3 linked regions of the Arabidopsis thaliana genome follow. The protein of the gene in region 3 interacts with the protein of the main gene of each other region in a biochemical or structural test. Each region holds a gene or a part of one and is shown on either strand. Other genes may lie near its edges. The genes, in order: HD1, SEU and LUG.

Region 1 (3,754 bases), 2.2 Mb from region 3:
TTTTTTTTTTTTCCTATGTCCTTTAAAAATGTGTAGTTGTAGATGTAGTTCCCTGTTTTCATGCATTCTAATATTGATTGCAAGTTCAATGAATAGCGTTGTGTTGGCGGTATAGGGTGTCAAATTATGCTTGACGCTTATCAGTCATTACCAATGATGTATGTGACTGTCTATTGCAAATGTGGCCGACTTCATGAACAAATATGAACAATAGTATCATTGGTTACATACACCAGGCATAAAACTACATCATCCTCCAAAGGCACTGCTGATCTCAGGGACGTGGAGGTCTGTTCTGTAGAAGCTGGCGCTATATTGAATACAAAATGCGTGGAGTCAACATTAAAATAGTTTTTATGATTCACTCGGAGATCTTTACTTGATTTGGTCGGCTGTATTATATTCGTGAACTCGGAAGTCAAGGCCTGTCTTGATGGAAGAATGACTCCTTACTTTTAATATATATATAAATAATACACTGGATATGAATGCCATCTTTTGTTTGTTTACTTTTGGCGTCATGTGATTCTTGTATTGTTTACTATTGTTAAATGCAAGTATCAGGTAGTGCTTAAGATGGAAGCATGTGCATCTCGTATGTTGACCATAACCTCTCCAAGAGTTTTCTTGGAGTTGGGAGAATCGCTGACTTGATTAAAGAAAAACAACAAAAGAATATAATAAGAGATGGGAGGTGGGGTCGGCGCCGTCCCTACTCGATGATATTAGTCTATAAAAGAGAGGGAAGGAATGAGGTAAAGAAGCAGAAAGCTGGAGAAAGATGATTTCAATGTTGTTTCCGCGGTCGCCTTTGTGCACAGCAGCCATAGTATTCTACACATGTGTGTGCATTCCCTTGGGGAGGTTGAAGAAGAATGGTGGAGATGCGGATGCGCATGATGATGACGGTTACAACCTAGTGGGAGTGATGTTTGGGGACAAGGAAAAGGAGGAGGAAATTTGCTGCCCCATATGCCTGGTGGAGTTTGAGGCTGAGGATGCGGTGACCCATCTTCCCAGATGCGCTCATCTCTTCCATATCAATTGCATAGAACCTTGGCTTCTCCGTGGCCACCTCACTTGCCCTCTCTGCAGATCATTTGTATTGGCTCCAACTCCTCCTACACAAAATGTCAATAATGCACACTCCTCTTCCACCTTGTATCTCTCTATCTTCTTCTTTTTCTGTATCTTTCTCCATCTACTTGGATACTTGTAGCCTAGCTTCCTTGTTAACACACCCATTCTTTATTTAACATGTATTTTGTCTTAGTTTCCAAGCACATATTGTCTCCATCTCCTTTTCAATCAAGATTTTGTGGATTACTCAGTTTTATGATATACTGTACTAAACAGAGACAAAAGCAGCACGAGTTTAGTTTTACCAGCCTTGCCTAGTGCCTACTGCTGCTCTAGTGCTCTGTTTCCTAATTGATTTGTTACTCTGCGTAAGACCATTAAGTAAACGGGCTAAAGGCAACTTAATAGGCCTTATTTTTAAAACACATTAAAAGTGGGCCTCATTTTAAACCATAACAGATTAAAAGTGGGCCTTTCCATTATAAACTGAAAGTAGAAAAAGTTGGAAGAGAAGAGTAAGTAGGCTACAGTTTCAGTCAGAGGTGAAAGAAAATCTGAAAGCAAAGCAGAGAGCAGCTCCCTTCCCCTCGGCGAGGAGGAAGGAAGAAGAAAGCCAGAGAGAGAGAGAGAGATCATCGCAGCTTCTCCTCCGACCATTTGACTGCGACTGTGATTACAACACACCGTTGATCCTACGAAAAAGGTCAGTCAGACTCTCTTCCTTGTCTGCGTGATTCCATTTTCCGGCGTCTGTCTAGCCTCGCCGTCTTTTAATATCTTTCACTCGCCTTCCTGTCTCTTCTGCACACTAGATTTGATTTTTTCGTAACTTAAAAAAATGTTGTTGTTGTCATTCAAACGCGTCCATGGCTCAGCTACTCCGCGGCTAGGGTTTAGTTATCATTTTTTAATAATATAATTTTTATGGATCGGCGTGCGTGCAGAGGTAATGGATACTGGCGGCAATTCGCTGGCGTCCGGACCTGATGGTGTGAAGAGGAAAGTTTGTTATTTCTATGACCCTGAGGTCGGCAATTACTACTATGGCCAAGGTCATCCCATGAAGCCCCATCGCATCCGCATGACCCATGCCCTCCTCGCTCACTACGGTCTCCTTCAGCATATGCAGGTTCTCAAGCCCTTCCCTGCCCGCGACCGTGATCTCTGCCGCTTCCACGCCGACGACTATGTCTCTTTTCTCCGCAGCATTACCCCTGAAACCCAGCAAGATCAGATTCGCCAACTTAAGCGCTTCAATGTTGGTGAAGACTGTCCCGTCTTTGACGGCCTTTATTCCTTTTGCCAGACCTATGCTGGAGGATCTGTTGGTGGCTCTGTCAAGCTTAACCACGGCCTCTGCGATATTGCCATCAACTGGGCTGGTGGTCTCCATCACGCTAAGAAGTGCGAGGCCTCTGGCTTCTGTTACGTCAATGATATCGTCTTAGCTATCCTAGAGCTCCTTAAGCAGCATGAGGTTTGTCCACCTGCACCGTTTTGATATATGCTAGGGATGGTTATGTCGTTTCTGAATCTCTAACTCTTCCTCTCTCGTTTGCAGCGTGTTCTTTATGTCGATATTGATATCCACCACGGGGATGGAGTGGAGGAGGCATTTTATGCTACTGACAGGGTTATGACTGTCTCGTTTCATAAATTTGGTGATTACTTTCCCGGTACAGGTCACATTCAGGATATAGGTTATGGTAGCGGAAAGTACTATTCTCTCAATGTACCACTGGATGATGGAATCGATGATGAGAGCTATCATCTGTTATTCAAGCCCATCATGGGGAAAGTTATGGAAATTTTCCGACCAGGGGCTGTGGTATTGCAATGTGGTGCTGATTCATTGTCTGGTGATAGGTTGGGGTGCTTTAATCTTTCAATCAAAGGTCATGCTGAGTGCGTCAAATTTATGAGATCGTTCAATGTTCCCCTACTGCTCTTGGGTGGTGGTGGTTACACTATCCGCAATGTTGCCCGTTGCTGGTGCTACGAGGTACTTTCTTCTGTTCATTTTATGCTGCTCTAGCTTTGCATTGAAATTTCCTTGGTCTCTGTACCAAGGTTAGCCCTCTGTGACGCCTCTCTTTCTTTGAATTTATTACAACAAACTGTTTATATGACAGACTGGAGTTGCACTTGGAGTTGAAGTTGAAGACAAGATGCCGGAGCATGAATATTATGAATACTTTGGTCCAGACTATACACTTCACGTTGCTCCAAGTAACATGGAAAATAAGAATTCTCGTCAGATGCTTGAAGAGATTCGCAATGACCTTCTCCACAATCTCTCTAAGCTTCAGCATGCTCCAAGTGTACCATTTCAGGAAAGACCACCTGATACAGAGACTCCCGAGGTATGCCACTTGAGCAAATCATTTGAAGTGTGTTGGCTCCTTTATTTCTGTTGCCCATTCTTTCTTGCATTTCCTCATGGGTTTTGGTGAGCTTATCTAAGTGTAACTGCAGTTACAATAAGAATTTTCTAATTTAAACAGCTGGGCTGGTAAATAATGTTCGTCCAGTTAGATATGTATAAGTATTCCTTGATTGATGACTCTGGTTGTTACCAATCTTAGTTTTGTAAAATATGCCTTCTATGTAAATTATAGGTTGATGAAGACCAAGAAGATGGGGATAAAAGATGGGATCCGGATTCAGACATGGA
Region 2 (3,754 bases), on a different chromosome or scaffold from region 3:
AACAAGATAAGTTCATTGAGCAGTAAACCAACCTGAGGGAAAACGCCTGTTGTTTGCCTGCCACTGCCATACATAGAGACGCACCATCTCTTTTTGGCATTAGGAGCAAAGTACTCAGCTACAAATTTTCTCCAGAACTCGATATTATTGTCCTGCATTTAATAGCAAGCACAAATGTCAATTATGAAGAAAAGCCATAGGCTGAAAGAAGTTAAATTTATGGTAAGAAGCTTTACTTCAGGCCTATGTTGTTGTCTGTACATATACTGTGTAAGACGCTGAGCACCCATGCCAGGTTCATACACTGGTTTCAGAGGTGGCCTTAGAGGTAAATTCTGCTGTTGGAACTGCTGTGGTAATTGAGGACGCTGTTGAGGCATAGATTTCAAGAGTTGCTGTTGTTGAAGTTGCATAAGTCTCTGCTGCTGAAATATGTTCATTTGAGCCTGCGGAGATTGCCCCGGCATTTGAAGAAATTGTTGTTGTTGTTGTTGCTGTTGTTGCCTCTGCTGTTGTTGGAGAAACAATGACTGCTCAGAATGTTGAGGTTCCATTTTCACTTGGGCCAAATTTCTCATGGCCTGAATTTGCTGCGGTTCCAACTTAACTGACCCTAGGTTTCTCAACATTTTCTGTTGCTGCTGTTGTACTTGACCATGCTGCTGATCATTCGAAACCTGACCAGGCTCCATCTTAACAGGTCCCACACCTGCTAATCCACCACCACGCACTGTCGAAAACTGCTGCTGCATTGACTGCTGCTGACCATGTTGAAAACTCTGCGTCTCCATTTTCTTATTCCGTTGTTGCTCAGCCAACAACTGGTTAGCCGAAACATTCGAAAACTGCTGACCCTGAACTTGACCTGATGAGCGCGGAGACACCATACTCGACGCATTAAAAGACGACAAACCACTAAACCCGACGTTAGACATCGGGTCAGACTCAGCACCACTTGTATCCATAGAAATCATAGAACCAGGGATACCATTTACAAAAGACTGATTATTGAGAAGAGAAGATATATTTGGAGCATTCCCAAGCATACTCATACTCATATTGTTACCAAACTGAGTACGCGGAGAGACAAGTGAAGGAAATGCTGGTTGAGAAGGAAGAGGAGCTCCTCCTTGTCCTCCTAATATCGAAGGCGGAACATTTTCACCACCCCCAACAGGATTAGGCGGCTCTGATGGTACCATACTCTTACTAATTCACAACTCCACAATCAACAAAGAAAGCAAGAAACAAAACTGACGACTTTATAAAACTCAGCTCTGTGTAGGAGCAAAGACGTATTCTTTCTGAGCAATGATAAGCTTCAGAGTCGTAAACACCACGGAAAGAGATGAATCTGAGTGATGAGATTCCGTATCGAACATTCTAGAACCAAACAACACTGTCTGTTGATTACTTACAGATCTAAATTAAGCAAATCTACTCCATTTCCAACTCTCACCACCTTAACAAAACAAAAGCATAATGTTAAGAACAAACCCAGAAAGAAAAAAACGAAACTTTGATCAAACCCTAATTGAGAAAAAAAACAGAGATTACTAGTGAGAATCTATAGAAACTTACCCAGAGGTGGAATTGAAGAATAAGTCTCTGATAAGACTCAAAACAAAGAGAATCGAACAAAAAGGAAGAGACTTTACACAACTAAAAATCTGAAAACTTCCGATGAACAAAATCTTGAAGAAATTTGAAGTCTTTTAGGGTTTTTTATTGATGGGTTTGGGGATAAAGAGACGAGAAGACAAAGAGAAACAAAAAGAAGTAGAAACAAATTTTCTCTGCCGCCTAGAAATTGTAGTTTCTGGGTTTTATTAAAAATTATACCTTTTTAAGCTTCACAGAGTAATTTGTGTCCTGTTCTTCGCTGTAGAGAGAGAGAGAGAAGAGAGAAAGAAGAAGATGAGAAGAGAGAGAATAGTGTCCTTGCGGACGTCAAAATTGTATTCGATCGGATTTATTTCATTCCCTTTCTTACTTTTTCTTTTTCAGTCTCTCTCTCTCTTCTTCTTCTTCTTCAAAGGAAGTCAATGACATGCCCTAGAAATGTTTTTTTTTTGTAATCACAATCTGGATTTTTTTTTTTTGTTAGCCACAAACATTTTTCTCTTTATTTTATTGGTTTTAGTGTTAAATTGTTATTTTTCCATTCAGAATACTATCACTTTTAAATACCTTAAGAAAAGTTTGATTTAGAAAGATATCAAAAGTTTAATATACACATCAATAGTGTTTTTTCTTAGAATGTAAAGTTTGGTTTAAAAGAACATAATGGAAATGACACTATTTTTATTTGTTTTTAGTTCTAAATTTGATATAGAAATTTTTCTTTCTTTTTTTGGTTTTAGTTTTAAATTTGATATAGAAATATATCAATATTTAATATATTACTACATTAATAGTGGTTTTTCTGTTTAAAGTTTATTTAAATGTGTAAATTTGGTTTGAGAGAGAGAATGGAAAACAAGACTATTTTTAAGAAAAAATATAATTATGGAACGACAACATAAAATTAATTTGAAAGCGGATTTATGTATGAGATTAAACAACTCGAGTTTGATCTTCATCCCTTGCTTAGATGATTTTTTTTTCCCATTCCCCTTATATATTCTTTTTCGTCTCAACTTTCTATCTTTTTTCTTTTGTTCAAGTTTTCTTAATTATTTTTGTCTACGCTTTTTAGATAATAAAAACTGCTTCTTATTTTCTTTATTTTATTGTCTACATGGTTTCATTACATAGAAGCTGAACTATAATAATCATGATGGTATTTTAAAGTTATAAAGCAAAGAAAATAAATATTATATACAAATGAAACTCCACAAGGAATTCTCACGGTTTAGAGTATTTGCATATTCATTTGTTTAATAAACCGTTTTCTATTAATATTAGAAAATATATAAAAAAAATAATTCAGTTTTTTAGTCTGATGTGTTGCAGATCATTTTCTAACATAAATATATTTAAAAGAAAAAATCAGACATGAGAGCATATATATGAACCATTGCTGAATATAAATCTTAAATACCTCATTTTTTCTGAACCTAATAATGCATGTAACCAATTTTAAGTCAAAAGCATTTTTTTGTGTGTTAAAATGTTAAATTTATTAGTCAACAAAAAGAAAAAATATGTATAAAGAGTTGAGAGAGTGCTTCACCCGGTTTAACAACACCACAAACCAAATAGCTTTTATATTGATTTAAATTACAATCACTAATGGTTAAAAAAACAGACTCATATATAGCCAAAGATATTGGTATTGCAAGAACTTCTCCTGCCATTGGAAACATGGTTGAATATTTTGATCTATTTATTTTTACTACCTTAAAACATGGTTGAGTATATCTGACTCGTCTTTTTGATATGTTTCCAACTCATTTACAGAAAGAAGATTGTAGACTTAAACTGGTCTATCAAACACTATACTCAAATTATCTCTACAAAATATTTATCAGCAAATTATTATTTCTCACACTTTAGATTACCTTATCCACGTATAAGTTTAAAGCTAAACAATGCAAATATCATTATATGAAAATGATCAAATATTTTAGCCACTATCAATATTTTATTGGCTTTTTCTATATCTTCTCAATATCTATCAAATTTGGATGTCATTGCATAAATCATATCTCTCAAATCTTACGTTAAACCCTAAATACCATACTTGATTGTTGTATATCTCATTGTAGTAACTATTTGATGTTACTTTATAGAAGAAGAGAATGTTAACATA
Region 3 (3,754 bases):
CTTAAAACAGAAAGGAAAAGAGAACACCATTCAACTGTACACAATGAAGGTGCTAACTAACTCCATATCACTAACTAAAGAGACTATCGCAGCTTTCCGCAGTTATATAATCACTAGTATCCCTAGTGGTCAGGGTAAAAAAGAAAAGAGACCTACCTCTATGTAAGATGCAGCAACCTCGGAATGCTTCTCATTGGTCCTAGCAATAAATATATCCCAGAAGACAGACCACCACTCAAACAGAAATCCACCAGGTGCGTCAATAGCTACAAAACAATGCAATAAGAAAATGAAGTTCATTAGGAAACAGAGCAACTGCAGAACAAATAATCTTTATAAAGAATAGTAGCCAAAAAGCTTAAGAAGATTGTGATTTCTTACCAACTGGATCCGATGACACTTTTCCTTCAGCTTGGAAAGCCTGAGCTGTAGCTTTCAAATCTCTTTTAACCAGATAATCATGGATATAGACATCCAACCTGTTACATTCAAAAATTTGTCTTTAAAACCCCAACAAAGGGCACTCGCCAAACAGGGGCTTAACTTCCTACTTAACAATGTCCCATAAACAAACCATCCAGTTATGAGCAAAAACACCAAAATCAGGAAACTTTCTTGAAGGAGCTTAAAGTCACATACTTGCATACAAAAAGGAAGAGTGAAATTGGGACAGTAACAAAAGAAACATGATGCCACAAGAGTCAACCAGAATGCGATAAACCAAATATCCAAAAAAATAATTACAAGCTCCTTGACAGTGACTGACAACACAAAGAACTAAACTTTGGCCAAAACATGCAAAATTTACCTAACTAAAAAGTTCCCCCCAACCACAGAAATCTAGCAAAGAAATGCTTTCTGAGAATAGAAACTAGAGAAACCCGCAAAGTAACACAACCCCCCTCTAACGGCAAAACAAAGCAAGAATGCCAATAAAGGAGAAAACTAAATATAAAAAATGCGATAAGTTAGTAATAAGCAAACCCACAAAATCAGCAGAATCCAGATCAAGTAGAAGCAACAAAATATTGAAACTTAACTCTGAACACAAACCCTAAAATCAAACTGTAGCCGGGGAACGAGAAAAACAATGCGTTTATAAAATCCGAACCCTAGAAATCACTTAAAAACACTCAGAATCTAAAACCCAACAAAAAAGTTAACACCTTTAGTAGGAAGGAGAACAATTACAAGAATCAAAACCCATAAAAAAGAAGAACTCACATTTTATCAGCTTCCCAGTTGGTCTGAGACATCTCTGTATAGTTCTTTGGACAAAACTAACCCCACAGACAGTTGTTAAGAATGTCAGATTCTCATGTAAATAACTAATAATGAGATATCTTCTTACATAAAAGCGCTTCTTCACAATCCTCTCAGAAATTATTATTGCACAGCAGAGAGAACCCAATTTCAATTATATTTCCCCCTTTTTCACCTCCCCACCTAATTTCCCCAGAAACTGAAGAAGATTTAACACTTCACAAATAAGCTAAACCAAACAAAAAAAATAGAGAGAACGAAAGTAAATAGAGAGAGAGAGAGAAAACGAAACAAAATATTTAGAGAGAGAAAGTTCGAGAGAAAGAAGAAGAAAGCATCTCTCTGTAAAAAAGCATTAGAAGTAGCTCAGCTCTTCTGATTAATAGCAACTAGCGATTTAATCAATTAAAATTTTTATTCTAATTTATTAATGTACTAAAAGAATAAGTACATCTTTTTTTTACAAAAAAAAACATTTCAGTGTAAATTTCGTTTTTTTCATTTGGAGAAAACGTGTTTTTCGTTATTTTAGTAATATTTTTACTTCATCAGAATAAAAATGTTGACCGGATAAGTATATTTATTTTATTGTATCAAACTTAAAAAGTAGTTTCCATGTCAGTTGTTTTGGGTGGACGGAATTGCAGAAGATATATTATGAGGTTAGCTTTATTCCTGTAAAATTACCAAAAAGCCCTCATAGTGTTGTATAATTTACGTGACGTAGCACGCCTTTGGCAAAGCACTTTTGCTTTTAATGACAAAATTAACCTTTTAATAATCAATAGATTGACGTAAATATCTTTTTCATTTTAACGTATCTGTATATTCATTCTTTCCTTTTTTTCCAATTTGTCTTGTTCGCTGTAAATCTTATCAAATTCATATTTCCTTTTTCATTTTTATGACATTTTTAGGATCATAGAGGGAACAAACAGTCCTTTTTCATTTTATCAAAATCATAACTACTCGAATTCAATTGTTTAAATCAATTGTGTATATCGGTCATTTTCCTATCATTTCATTAGTTTTATTAAATCGTTTAATTATTTACAAAAATCCATGTGACTTAAGTTCGTGAGCTTAAAGTCTTTTTAGGCTACTTTTGGAAAACAATTGAGGTTTTCTAAAGATCCATACAAAAACAGAGTAATTTAAGTTCTTAAAGCAAAAAATATGTGCTTCTGTTTTTACTAATCCATCTTGAAAAGTCGTTTGATGTGAGGCCCAACATTAAATCTCAGGTCCATAAGACCAAGGCCTTGCATAAAATCAAATTCGGTAACGAAATGAATCAACGAACGGCATGATTTTTGGAGGTTGGTTCTAAAAGAATTTGAAACTATCAAGAGTTTTTAATTAGTCAATTCTGTTTTCATGACAACTACGACAATTCTGTTTTCATCACAACTACGATTCTAAGAGCTGACCCCTACTAGGCTACAAACACACAGAAAGCTGCCAGACCTGGAACAAGAAATTCTCAATTTGCGGTCGCCAAGATCTTTGAGCATGTAACAAAACCCTCATCTTTATAATATATATTCACTAGATTCATTGTGTAGGAAAATAATTTGTGATTACCCTACCTTACATGTTTGCCTTGAAAATTTTCGTATATCTAATTTGATACGCAAGAAAGTCTCTAACAAATTGTAGTGATAAAGATGATTATTATTTTTGTAGTGGCGTCCAATTTTTTTTTATTAAAATGTTAATATACAAGCTGAATTATATTTGGAATATTGAATACAGTCGTTATATTATTGAGTATTCTTGAATCAGTTTGTAGTTGTACATTTCATAGGTGTTGCTGAGAATACTATTTATATGAATATAACAATATGATTGGATGTAATGTTGCTGACATTACCAAAATGTCGGTTCCAGAGCTCTTTATTGTTGAGACTTGAGACAATTCAAGTATATGCGTAGACCTCACACCACTACCAGTACCCATACTACAATTCTTATCTGTTGATTTAAAAAAAAAGAAAAATGGTAAACATAAATGGAAATGAGACGTTTATGTGCAACGATTTTAAAATTGTCATCCAAATTTGATCCTGTAACAATGGAGGAAGAATTTGCGCAAGAGAAAGAATCATGAGGAAAAAAAAAAAAAAAAAATCACGAGGAAGCAAAAGTCAGCGCAAAGACTCAAATTAATTTATTTTTATTTTTTTTAAAAAAGACTCTGAAATAGCTGAATAAGAAAGGTAACTGGGCCATGGGGAGGGGGGGGGGAAGTTATAAGGTAACTGGGCCATACGGACAATTAAGCCCATAATTATTTCATGTTTTGGTAGGAATTGAGCCCACATTTATTTAGAGGATTATCAAAATGGCAGACCTAATTGTTTTTTTTTTTTTTTTTTTTTTTTTTTTGGCAGACCTAATTGTTTTAGAGATTTAGAGGATTAACAACAGAATAAGACCATTCATTTTTGTTTTCTTTTTAGCCACTTAGTTTATTTTTGTTCTAGAATTG

What was found.
Region 1: the proteins of LUG (region 3) and HD1 form a complex in vitro, tested with the Arabidopsis thaliana proteins (one study listed by BioGRID).
Region 2: the proteins of LUG (region 3) and SEU form a complex in vitro, tested with the Arabidopsis thaliana proteins (one study listed by BioGRID).

What each region holds. Positions count from the first base shown.
Region 1 is NC_003075.7:17,897,333-17,901,086, reverse strand, and holds the start of HD1 (histone deacetylase 1), read left to right. Parts: upstream 1-1,577; 5' UTR 1,578-1,783; intron 1,784-2,024; 5' UTR 2,025-2,029; coding exon 2,030-2,557; intron 2,558-2,641; coding exon 2,642-3,082; intron 3,083-3,212; coding exon 3,213-3,443; intron 3,444-3,698; coding exon 3,699-3,754. Other genes in the region: AT4G38140 (RING/U-box superfamily protein), read left to right, coding at 782-1,219. UniProt on the Arabidopsis thaliana protein: Responsible for the deacetylation of lysine residues on the N-terminal part of the core histones (H2A, H2B, H3 and H4).
Region 2 is NC_003070.9:16,615,320-16,619,073, reverse strand, and holds the start of SEU (SEUSS transcriptional co-regulator), read right to left. Parts: upstream 2,087-3,754; 5' UTR 1,582-2,086; intron 1,463-1,581; 5' UTR 1,203-1,462; coding exon 237-1,202; intron 153-236; coding exon 33-152; intron 1-32. UniProt on the Arabidopsis thaliana protein: DNA-binding adapter subunit of the SEU-LUG transcriptional corepressor of the C class floral homeotic gene AGAMOUS during the early stages of floral meristem development.
Region 3 is NC_003075.7:15,705,365-15,709,118, reverse strand, and holds the start of LUG (transcriptional corepressor LEUNIG), read right to left. Parts: upstream 1,639-3,754; 5' UTR 1,257-1,638; coding exon 1,225-1,256; intron 480-1,224; coding exon 382-479; intron 267-381; coding exon 157-266; intron 1-156.